Linked DNA regions of Drosophila melanogaster. The protein of the gene in region 1 binds, or shares a complex with, the protein of each later gene. Each region holds a gene or a part of one and is shown in the gene's direction. Other genes may lie near its edges. The genes, in order: inaD and norpA.

The links.
Region 2: the proteins of inaD (region 1) and norpA are in contact, whole or in part, in a crystal structure (PDB 6IRE), measured with the Drosophila melanogaster proteins. Residues at the interface, in NP_726260.1 of Drosophila melanogaster: Pro498, Gly500, Tyr521, Glu523, Lys555, His557, Gln558, His561, Thr562, Thr563, Glu594, Leu595, Gly596, Leu597, Ser598, Leu599, Ser600, Pro601, Ala609, Asp610, Ile612, Gln615, Phe642, Gln643, Val644, Cys645, Tyr646, Phe649, Lys650; in NP_001162661.1 of Drosophila melanogaster: Arg904, Gln908, Gln911, Asn912, Ile915, Asn929, Lys934, Ile937, Asn938, Gln940, Thr941, Arg952, Asp1070, Lys1073, Leu1074, Asp1076, Met1077, Ile1080, Glu1081, Glu1083, Ala1084, Thr1087, Gln1088, Lys1090, Thr1091, Glu1092, Phe1093, Tyr1094, Ala1095.

What each region holds. Positions count from the first base shown.
Region 1 is NT_033778.4:22,855,115-22,860,804, reverse strand, and holds inaD (inactivation no afterpotential D), read left to right. Parts: upstream 1-2,010; 5' UTR 2,011-2,206; coding exon 2,207-2,243; intron 2,244-2,593; coding exon 2,594-3,204; intron 3,205-3,258; coding exon 3,259-3,349; intron 3,350-3,411; coding exon 3,412-3,767; intron 3,768-3,831; coding exon 3,832-4,056; intron 4,057-4,115; coding exon 4,116-4,227; intron 4,228-4,284; coding exon 4,285-4,424; intron 4,425-4,484; coding exon 4,485-4,781; intron 4,782-4,851; coding exon 4,852-5,043; 3' UTR 5,044-5,117; downstream 5,118-5,690. Other genes in the region: RpL23 (ribosomal protein L23), read right to left, coding at 5,163-5,360. UniProt on the Drosophila melanogaster protein: Involved in the negative feedback regulation of the light-activated signaling cascade in photoreceptors through a calcium-mediated process.
Region 2 is NC_004354.4:4,320,882-4,325,789, forward strand, and holds the start of norpA (no receptor potential A), read left to right. Parts: upstream 1-1,744; 5' UTR 1,745-2,274; intron 2,275-2,727; exon of another isoform or gene 2,728-2,920; intron 2,921-4,466; 5' UTR 4,467-4,735; intron 4,736-4,908. Other genes in the region: NO66 (nucleolar protein 66), read left to right, coding at 1-708; mRpL33 (mitochondrial ribosomal protein L33), read right to left, coding at 937-986, 1,050-1,153, 1,210-1,250. UniProt on the Drosophila melanogaster protein: The production of the second messenger molecules diacylglycerol (DAG) and inositol 1,4,5-trisphosphate (IP3) is mediated by activated phosphatidylinositol-specific phospholipase C enzymes. Essential component of the phototransduction pathway.

The sequences.
Region 1 (5,690 bases):
TCCGGTAATCCATTTTCAGTTGTGGTTTTGTGGCTTTCCTTATTACCCAGCTCCCCAGGTCCTGTGCAATTTCCATATTATTCCAAATCCGAATCGTTGCCTCAAGTGTTTTGGCGCAGAAAACTGTAATTTTTATTCATTTCCAGGACGCAGTCTGAAGTGCCTGCTAAACGATTATTAGCAATTTGATATAACTGCATGTAAGTACAACACGAGAACAAGTCAACAACGGATTCGCCTGCACACACACACACACACACACACACACAGACACGTGTGGCCACTTACATAAGGACGAGTGGGTGTATGTGTGTGAGTGTGTTTGCCTGTGTGACAGCCAACAGTGGAAAATCACTTCAGTTAACTAAATCCCCGCAACAACCATGCGCCGACTGCGCCGCAGCAGCACGACTTCTGCAGGAGCGGACAGAGAGAGAGAGAGAGAGAAGGAGAGAGAGAAACAGAGAGCGGAACAGCCGAAAAGGACACGGCACAAAGCAGCCATTGCAGGGGCGTGGCCTGCGGCCAGAGAGCCAATCGGAGGGCGAGGTCTTGCGAACAGCGACGTCGGCAGCGGCAGAGGCTGCAAGGGACGAGGAGAGAGCGGGGCGGGGCTGGGGGAAGAGGTGGAAAAGGGGGCGGCAGCGTTAAGCTCATTGCCATATTTTCGCTGTGCTCTCTTTTGAATTTACTTTACTAACAAAACATGACTGTTGGGAGGCAAAAAGGAAATTGTTTTATCAAATGGGTTTCCTTACGCTTTTTTATTATGAAATTAATTTCCAGCATCGTTTCGCAGTCGTTGACGTTCCACTCCCATCGCTCTCACTCCCACTCTCCGTTGGGTTCGCCATTTTCCAGTTTAAACCCCATTTTGCGCCCAGCTCCTTTGAGCATGTGTTTACTCTAGTTTTCCTTTGGAGCTGCCTTAGCCATTCCACTTTCGTTTCATTCCGTTCGGGCAATGTTCGGGAAATGTTTGCATAGTCATATTCTCCCTTCCCTGCCTCCAGTTTCCTTTTTTCATACCGCCTTTCCCCCCGACAAAGGCATTAAAATGCAAATCTTGATTATGAATTTAAGCTCGGCAGACAAATTAAATTTATTTGCCACTCGAAAGATAAAAATCTTGAAAGTTTTATTTGATTACCGCTTGTGTCTGGTTCAGAAGTTCCCCAGCAATCCTTACCAATTCGCATTGAAATTGTTGCCTACTTTTTGGGGCTATATTATTGATACTGAATATATACAGTTCATATTCAATATCATATCATTGTCACCTTACATTTTATATTTATTTACTCTTTATTCTTCGGTATTTTGTGCGCATTTTATTATTGTTTTTTTATTAAGGATATTATATGTTTTAAAAATGTCCCCCACAAATTGTTGTTATTTGCAGTGCCGATATAGAAGCTCTCGCCCAGGTAAAAGTGTGTGAGACATATGTTATTCAGTTGTAAGTGCAATGAAAGAAAAATATAAAATCGATGGGCATTGCTGGTCAACACTTGGTGGGCTTCTCCTGGCGGAGTGTTGAGTTCAGCACGGGCCAAATCGTACCAACAAATTAATAACTTGATAGGGCCAATAAAGGTACATGGGTATCCATTTTCCCCTAGCCTTCACATCCGCGATGGTAACCCATATAATGGCCGTCTTCGGGGAGCTGGGTGTTTTGTGAGTGGTGTCATAACAGACAGTGAAAGTTACTCAATTCATTGGAGGCACCTCCTCCGAATCGATAGCACTGTACTGCAAGGTAATATTTTAATGGGTAATCTCAAGATACGAAACATTTTCATTATTATTAGTAGAATTTTTCTTTTACTCAAGCATTCTTTAGAAGGAAAGTTTGTGAAAGTGTCTTAGCATATATGTATGAACTACATGCATCTGGTACTCTAAGATCAACCCTGCTGACCAGTGTAATCGATACGAAAATCATACTCAAAATAGAATGGCCACTAAGTCAGTTAGCAAGAATGTTCGCCCGCTAATTGTAAAATCAGTTTAGGCGCACTTTTCAATGGACTCAAATCGGGCGCAGCCAACGCGGAATATTCACAAATAATAATTAAGTGAAAACCCATAACAATAAATATTCGATATTACATTTGAGCTTAATTCGGTGCGCTTAATGTCCGGTCAGTGAGTCGCGAGTTTTTGGCTAGGATTACGGAGCAGTCGATCTCAAGCAGCGAGGATGGTTCAGTTCCTGGGCAAACAGGGCACCGCGGGTGGTCAGTGTCCATTGAGTGGTTTCATGACCAACTGCTAATCAAATTTGCAGCTAGTCCCGAAAGAACTTGACCTTCCAAAGGTCACTCAATACTCGTTTTGTGTTTTATGAATCAAATAAAACAAAATTTGAACAAAAGCCAATTCAATTGACTTTATTGATTCTTAAGAATCCTGTGAGAAATATGTTTATGTAATGAACTTAACCTTAACATTTATATAAACGATTATACAATATTGGTGAAAATTATTTTGCGAAAGGATACCAAGTGGGATAAGGACCCCAATAAATATTTATTAGTAATAGCTTCACATTTGTCTTAGTCGTACTTTAACAATACGTTGTAAATAGTTTTTATTTCATTTGGAATGCACAATCCTTTCCCAGAGCTCATTCACATGGTGACCCTGGACAAGACGGGCAAGAAGTCCTTCGGCATCTGCATAGTGCGCGGCGAGGTGAAGGATTCGCCCAACACCAAGACCACCGGCATCTTCATCAAGGGCATTGTGCCCGACAGTCCCGCGCATCTGTGTGGTCGCCTAAAGGTTGGCGATCGGATCCTCTCGCTCAACGGAAAGGATGTGCGCAACTCCACCGAACAGGCGGTCATCGATCTCATCAAGGAGGCGGACTTCAAGATCGAACTGGAGATTCAGACCTTCGACAAGAGCGATGAGCAGCAGGCCAAGTCAGATCCGCGGAGCAATGGCTACATGCAGGCCAAGAACAAGTTCAACCAGGAGCAGACCACCAACAACAATGCGTCCGGAGGTCAGGGAATGGGGCAAGGTCAGGGTCAGGGTCAGGGAATGGCTGGCATGAACCGGCAGCAATCGATGCAGAAGCGGAATACCACATTCACGGCCTCGATGCGTCAGAAGCATAGTAACTACGCCGACGAGGATGACGAGGACACCCGGGACATGACCGGTCGCATTCGCACGGAGGCGGGTTATGAGGTGGGTTAACCCAAGGTCGCCACCCATCGCTCTACTAACTTATAAGTACCTTAGATCGATCGAGCATCCGCCGGTAATTGCAAACTCAACAAGCAGGAAAAGGATCGCGACAAGGAGCAGGAAGATGAATTTGGCTACACGATGGGTAAGACTCAATTGAAGCCATTAAAAAATGTCAGTCACACAGCACGTGAATGCCATTCCCAGCTAAGATCAACAAGCGGTACAACATGATGAAGGATCTGCGCAGGATCGAGGTCCAGAGGGACGCCAGCAAGCCACTGGGACTCGCACTCGCTGGCCACAAGGACCGCCAGAAGATGGCCTGCTTTGTTGCCGGTGTGGATCCCAACGGAGCATTGGGTAGCGTGGACATCAAACCGGGCGACGAGATCGTCGAGGTCAACGGCAATGTGCTGAAGAATCGCTGCCACTTGAACGCTTCCGCCGTGTTCAAGAACGTGGATGGGGATAAGCTCGTGATGATCACCTCGCGACGCAAGCCCAACGATGAGGGCATGTGCGTCAAGCCCATCAAGAAGTTCCCCACCGCGTCTGATGAGGTCCGTACTTTTCACTTCTTTTCGGATGGATCCTGCGATAAAATGTCCTTCCCTTCTATTCCAGACTAAGTTTATCTTCGACCAGTTTCCCAAGGCGCGCACGGTGCAGGTGCGCAAGGAGGGTTTCCTGGGCATCATGGTCATCTATGGCAAGCACGCTGAGGTGGGAAGTGGCATTTTCATCTCGGATCTGAGAGAGGGATCGAATGCCGAGTTGGCGGGCGTGAAAGTGGGCGACATGCTGCTGGCCGTTAATCAGGATGTAACACTGGAATCCAACTACGATGATGTGAGTCGTCAGGAAGCCCTCCAACCACTTAGTTTAAAACCATTTCATATCCACTTCAGGCTACTGGACTGCTTAAACGTGCCGAGGGCGTAGTGACCATGATTCTATTGACTCTCAAGAGCGAGGAGGCGATAAAGGCTGAGAAGGCGGCGGAAGAGAAAAAGAAGGAGGGTAGGTATTGCGTCCAAGCAAGTTCAAAACTGACATCTTCATCCCGATAACTCACAGAGGCCAAGAAAGAGGAGGAAAAGCCACAGGAACCCGCCACAGCCGAGATCAAGCCGAACAAAAAGATACTCATTGAGTTGAAGGTGGAAAAGAAGCCAATGGGCGTCATCGTCTGCGGCGGCAAGAACAACCATGTCACGGTGGGCTATCTGAACTTTCTGTTTCTGCAAGAAGTACCTTAAACAACTTTTCCCTGACAGACTGGCTGTGTAATCACCCACGTTTATCCGGAGGGACAAGTGGCAGCCGACAAGCGCCTCAAGATCTTTGACCACATTTGCGATATAAATGGTACGCCAATCCACGTGGGATCCATGACGACACTGAAGGTCCATCAGTTATTCCACACCACATACGAGAAAGCGGTCACCCTAACGGTCTTCCGCGCTGATCCTCCGGAGCTGGAAAAGTTTAACGTTGACCTTATGAAAAAAGCAGGCAAGGAGCTGGGCCTGTCGCTTTCTCCCAACGAAATTGGATGTACCATCGCGGACTTGGTGAGTGCACATACACCACTGGTATACAGTGGTAGGAAGGCTCAACCCTAAGTAACTACTTTCTCGACAGATTCAAGGACAATACCCGGAGATAGACAGCAAACTGCAGCGCGGCGATATTATCACCAAATTCAATGGCGATGCCTTGGAGGGTCTTCCGTTCCAGGTGTGCTACGCCTTGTTCAAGGGAGCCAACGGCAAGGTATCGATGGAAGTGACACGACCCAAGCCCACTCTACGTACGGAGGCACCCAAGGCCTAGAGACGATCCTCATTCTCCTCCTCCGGTAGCGAAGCAGTGCAGCAATTCAATAAAAGAACCAACAATTCGAATTCAAAACAATCTGTTTTCCGTTGTGGGTTTATTGAAAAGGAAACTCCTTAGGCTATAGAGCTTGCATTGGATGCAATACGGGGCCACAGATCGGCGCATTCCTTGGCCACCGGTCCAGTGATGGCCGAGCCCTTCATTTCGCCCTTGTTGTTTACTATTACCCCGGCATTGTCCTCAAAGTATATAAACACCCCGTCCCTCCTCCTGAACGGTTTGCGCTGCCGAATAACCACGGCAGGCATGACCTGGAAACAAATGAAAATAGTAGTTAGCAAAGTTGCTCGGCAGTGTGCAAACCTCCTGCTGCATCGGTTAGTTATGCAAAAGTGCGTTGTTATAGGTGGGGGAATTATGAGAAGTGCAGTGAAACCGTTTTATAAACCTTCTTCACTACAATTTTAAATTCTTATCAATAAACAAAAATATTAAAAACGTGAGTTTGGTGCGATAAGCTATCTTAGCCGGCACAAAACATGTGGGGAAAATTTATTGGAAGCGTAAGGAGAAACCTTCCACGTCTAATACAAATCTATCTATATTATCGTATTACTTTACAATGAAATACTCTGCAATTG
Region 2 (4,908 bases), on another chromosome or scaffold:
ATCACCGAAGAGCAACAGCACTCGCTGCACATTACCTTGAGTGTTTACCAACAGCAGGCATATGCCAATCTTCTAGAGACACTAATGCCCATGGTTCTTAAGAAGGCCGTCGATCGGAGTGTGGCCTTGCGTCGCGGCTTGCCGCTGCACACTTTTCAAGTTTTGGGCAATGCCTACAAGGGAAATGACTGCGGGTCGCGCAAACAGCTGGTGGAGAATGTGCAGAAGCTGGTGACCAATTACTTGATGCCCTCCGAAGATGATATTGATGAGGCCGTCGACCAGATGGCCAAGAAGTTCCAGCACGAGGCACTTCCGCCGATCGTATTGCCCTCGGAGGAGGTGCGCACTGTTCATGGGGCACGCAGTGATGCCGATGAGCAGGGCAACTGCGTCTGCGATTACAAATTCAATAAAAAGACATCCGTGCGCCTGCTGCGTGCCAACATTCTGCGTCTGGTGACCGAGTCCGATGGCAGCGTGCGTATCTACCACCATGTGGACAATGGCCTGGATTACTGCAAGTACGAGCCCTATTTCATGGAGATTCTGCCAGAGGAAGCTAAAGCCGTTGAGCTCCTCATATCGGCCTATCCATTTTACCTCACCATTGATCAGTTGCCATTGGAGTCTTCAGCTCGCAAGATAGAGGTCGCCACCGCCCTGTGGGAGCATGGTCTTCTTATGACCGAGAAGCCGTTTAAGTAGACGGCAATCGAAAGCGAGTTGCTGTTGATAATTAGAATTAAGTATCGATGCGAATGTGTATCTAAAACGAGCGTAAATTAATATTTTTGTATAAATATGTAACCAGATTTATAATGCTCCTATTCTGCCGAAAATAAAGCACCCACATTCGCACATATATCTCGGTTGTTTTTTGGTGTTTCCAATAGTTGTAAATTTTATTTTTTTCACTAACAAAAAATGGTTATCTTAGGCGCTGCGGATTTTCTTGCGTTCACGATAAAGGCTTTCCTGTTGAACTGAAAAAGAAACATGGGCAACATCAGTGCATATGCATAAAGTCAGTGATGGCCGGCACTCACTGTACGGATCGAAGCGTATTATCTCCAATTTGTCGGCCAAGCGATCGCGAAAAGCATTAAACTGATGTCCACTGACCACACTTTCCAGTACGACCATGATGCGCCTGTAAAAACGGTTGGTTTTAACAAAAAGAACAAATTGGATGTCCAAATTACTCACTTGCTCTTCACCTTTTTGAACAAAACGTTAGTTAGACGCATTTTGATTCGGTAAATGGGGAAAATGCAGTGAATTATGGAAATATGCCGCTGAAATTATTGTGCAAGCAAGACGATAGGAACGAAGAACAGCTGACTGCGCCTATCGATTACCACCCGAGGGCTCAAGCTTTTCACCCGGATATTTTGAAAAACAATCGGTGTCCACGTATGATGAGTATATATTTAATATTACTATATTTATATTTGATGCATTTATGTCTCTCTGTTTTAAAGCCTTCCTTTCGAAATTGCTAAAAAGCTCTCAGATGCAATGTGGTTAGTAGAAGTCATTCACATATGTATCTTTGGTTGAAGTCCCTGCCAATTAAATATTAAAAAGTTAACATACAGGTTTGAGTCCGTGCTAGAGACTGCAAGCTGTGCCACTGAGGTTAACAGAAGCCAATCGATACCAAGCGCAAGCACTGAAATGTATCGTCGAGAAACATCGGTGGTCAATGCATTCGATGCTTTTTTACATCACTAACACTCGTGCGAAACGGACGCGAATTTTCATTTGTGCTGCGGAAACCAACAACAACAGACAACAAATAAAAACAAACGAAAAACAAAACGGTCAAAATTCCGTGTAAAAAAACTGAAGCCTTGGAAAAATAGAACGAAAAACATAGACGCACTAAAAGCTCAGTGAAGTCCTTTGTGGGCGAAACCGTATAATAAAATAAATCACAGCCACACGCGCTTTCTGTAACTCCTTTTCGCCTTGCCCTGCTCTTGTTTTCCCTTTTAAATATTTTTTTTACGAGTTGGTTTCCCGAGAATTTCCCATACTCGCGCGTGGTAAACAAGACTCATTTTTTTTTTACAGTGTTTGTTTTTTGAAAGTGCAGAGAAGCTGACAAGAAAGAGATAACAACATAAAAACAGAAACAGCCAAAGAGTGGCAACAACAAACAAACCAACCAAACGGAATCAAAGTCAAACAAACGCGAACGCGAAGGAAGCTTCAAAAGAGAGACAAGAGCGTGAAAAGGAGGTGGAGAGGAGCTGCGGAGAATCTAAGGTAGGAGGCAGATTGCGAAAAATACGTTTTTTTGTTTTTTGTTGATTTGCATTTGCATATTCAAAAGTTCTCTGTTTTGAGGGTTGCAGAAGCGAAATTAGTTTTTAAAGCCCGCTTAGTAGCCAATTTGCCGGAATTGCACATTGGAATTCAGTGTGTTCCTAAGTACATAAATCACTAAAAACTAACGGCAAAAATTCAAATAGCTTTCAACAAATATTTACAATTACTCATTGATAAAAGTGGTAATGTGATCCATGTGTAAGTTGTTAAATTATTTTCGTAGCGCATTTGTACGAATGAAAGACTGCAGTAAAAGTTTTCGATTGCATGCAGATCGCTTTCCGAGTTTAAGAAGAAAAGTTGTGGAAAACGTTTTCCTTCTTTAGAGACATCAACTTAATCAAATATCGAACAGCTAGTAAGCCATTGAAATCACATCAGTTTCTTTCTGTGCATCTGGCAAAGTGCTTGATTGTTGATATTTCGAGAGGGGGTTTTCGAAAAGCGATCGGAAATCCAAATTGTAAATGATTTACCAAAAACGTAAACTTGGCCGTGACGAGGGGCAAGAAATGGTCGAAACGTGGGCTGGAGCGGAGCAGGAGCAGGTGAAATACATAAACAAACAAGTGCTCGAAGGAGGGTTAGTTGTGGGAGGGGCTACGCAAATACATAAGTATATGAATAAATAATATAAACAAAATATTAAATTAGAAGAAATTTACTTGCGCGCACGCCGACGCAAACACGAACACAAGGTGCTGGTTGTTGTTGTTAGGATGGTGTGGATATGTGGTGGGGAGGGAAAAGCACACATAAAATTGAAGTATTCAAATTTACACACGCAAAAAACGACGTCGGCAGAGCAAACAACAATTTGCCAGTCCGCCAGCCCTCTCGCTCGCACCCATCCGCACTTGGTCGCCGCGTCTCGCTCGCACTAACGACGGCCACTTGTTTTGCCCTCTGTCGACGTCCACGCAGCCACTGTGCACTGAAAGAAACAAAAGACATGGTACAACATATTCATGAATCGCTTGTAAGATTGATATTTTTTTATAAACGCTCACTTTTCTGTTAACAATACAATATTTTACTCGAAAAATTTAAGAGTTTAAAATATTTAAACTTTAGTGTAAAATCACTGAGTTATTCGACACTGTTATTTCAAAATAAAAAAAATAATGATTTACGACCGATAAACAAAACAAATTTAAAAAAATTGAGCCGCAAATACTTTAAATCATCCAATTCCCATTTAGCTTTATCATTTTTTTTCTTTTTAATTTTGTAGGTGTTAATTAGCAAATACTCATATTTTCCATCTCTCGCCCAAGCTGCAAATGTGCATTATTCAAGCTCTACTGTAGTTCTACGTAGCTTACTTTTTGTGGCAAGTGTGGCGATCAGAAGCTTTATTATGCTTCTCCCTCATTTCCTTTTGTTTGTTTGAACTGCAACCGAGCGAAAGGGGGCGTGCCAGTGGGCGGTGGGTGGCCTGGGATTGTGCAATAAAGCTATAATAATAAAATAACAAACAAACCGTTAAAGCGAACGCCGTCGCACACTCATCGCACCCACACAAACGCACCATAGGTATTGGTGTGTGGCTGCATGATGGGGCGGAAGAAATGGAGAGGAGAACGGCAGGCGAAGGAACAATAATCATATTTGCACTTGCTCTCTCGCACGATCATCACCCACGCAGAAAGAGCGGGCAAGAGCAGCAGAGAGCGCCGGTACAGTAGTCATTCGTCGCACGTATATAGCTGGCCATAAAAGTGGATAGTCATCAATGTGTACTGTTTAGTTTCATAGCATTTATAGAGCAGTTTAGTTTGTTCAATATATTCATATGCAGATTAATTATTTAAATCAGCACTTATCCGTCTGCACAAAAAGGCCCCACTGTACTTGAGATAAAAGTTCTCCGTTGCTGGCTCTCCGTTCTCAGTTGGTCAGTGGTCGTCCGCCGGAGCTTTTCCCGTTAGTCCGCTCGCATAATATAATCCGCGATAAACAAGGGAACACGGCACGGAGAGAGAGCGAAACGGCAACGTGTTTCGTTTTGGTGTCAGTTTCGGTTTTGTTTGCCGCATGTTTACCCATTGTATTATTATTACCTGTTCTATTTCTTTTTCTTTTTTTTATGTGTGTACATTTTCACAGCAATCGCATATTTTTTGCAGTGGCTGTGAGCTGAAATACAAAAAATAAAAAAAACAAGTGCAACCAAATACAGTGTTACCTGTTGTGAGTAAACTTAAGGAAACGTGGAGAGAGCGAGAGAGTGCGACAGCCGACTGATCAAACTGTAAATCTTGCAATGCTCTTCAAACTGAAATTCGCAAGGCGGGAAAAAACAAACAAATATAAATAAACAAGAATAACAAACAAAAATAGGTAGCAAAAGCAGGAACAACAAAAGCCGAAGCCAATTAATTAAATACATATCTACGTAAGTTAAACACACAAGCCAACACGAACTATGATCAGGACACTGAGAGAAAAAGGATGCAACTGTTTGCTATTGCAAAATAAACTGAAGTAGCATACAAAATGACATGTTTGATTTTAGATTATATTGTGAATTAAAAAGTTCTTAGTCATGACATTCATATTTCGGGGTAT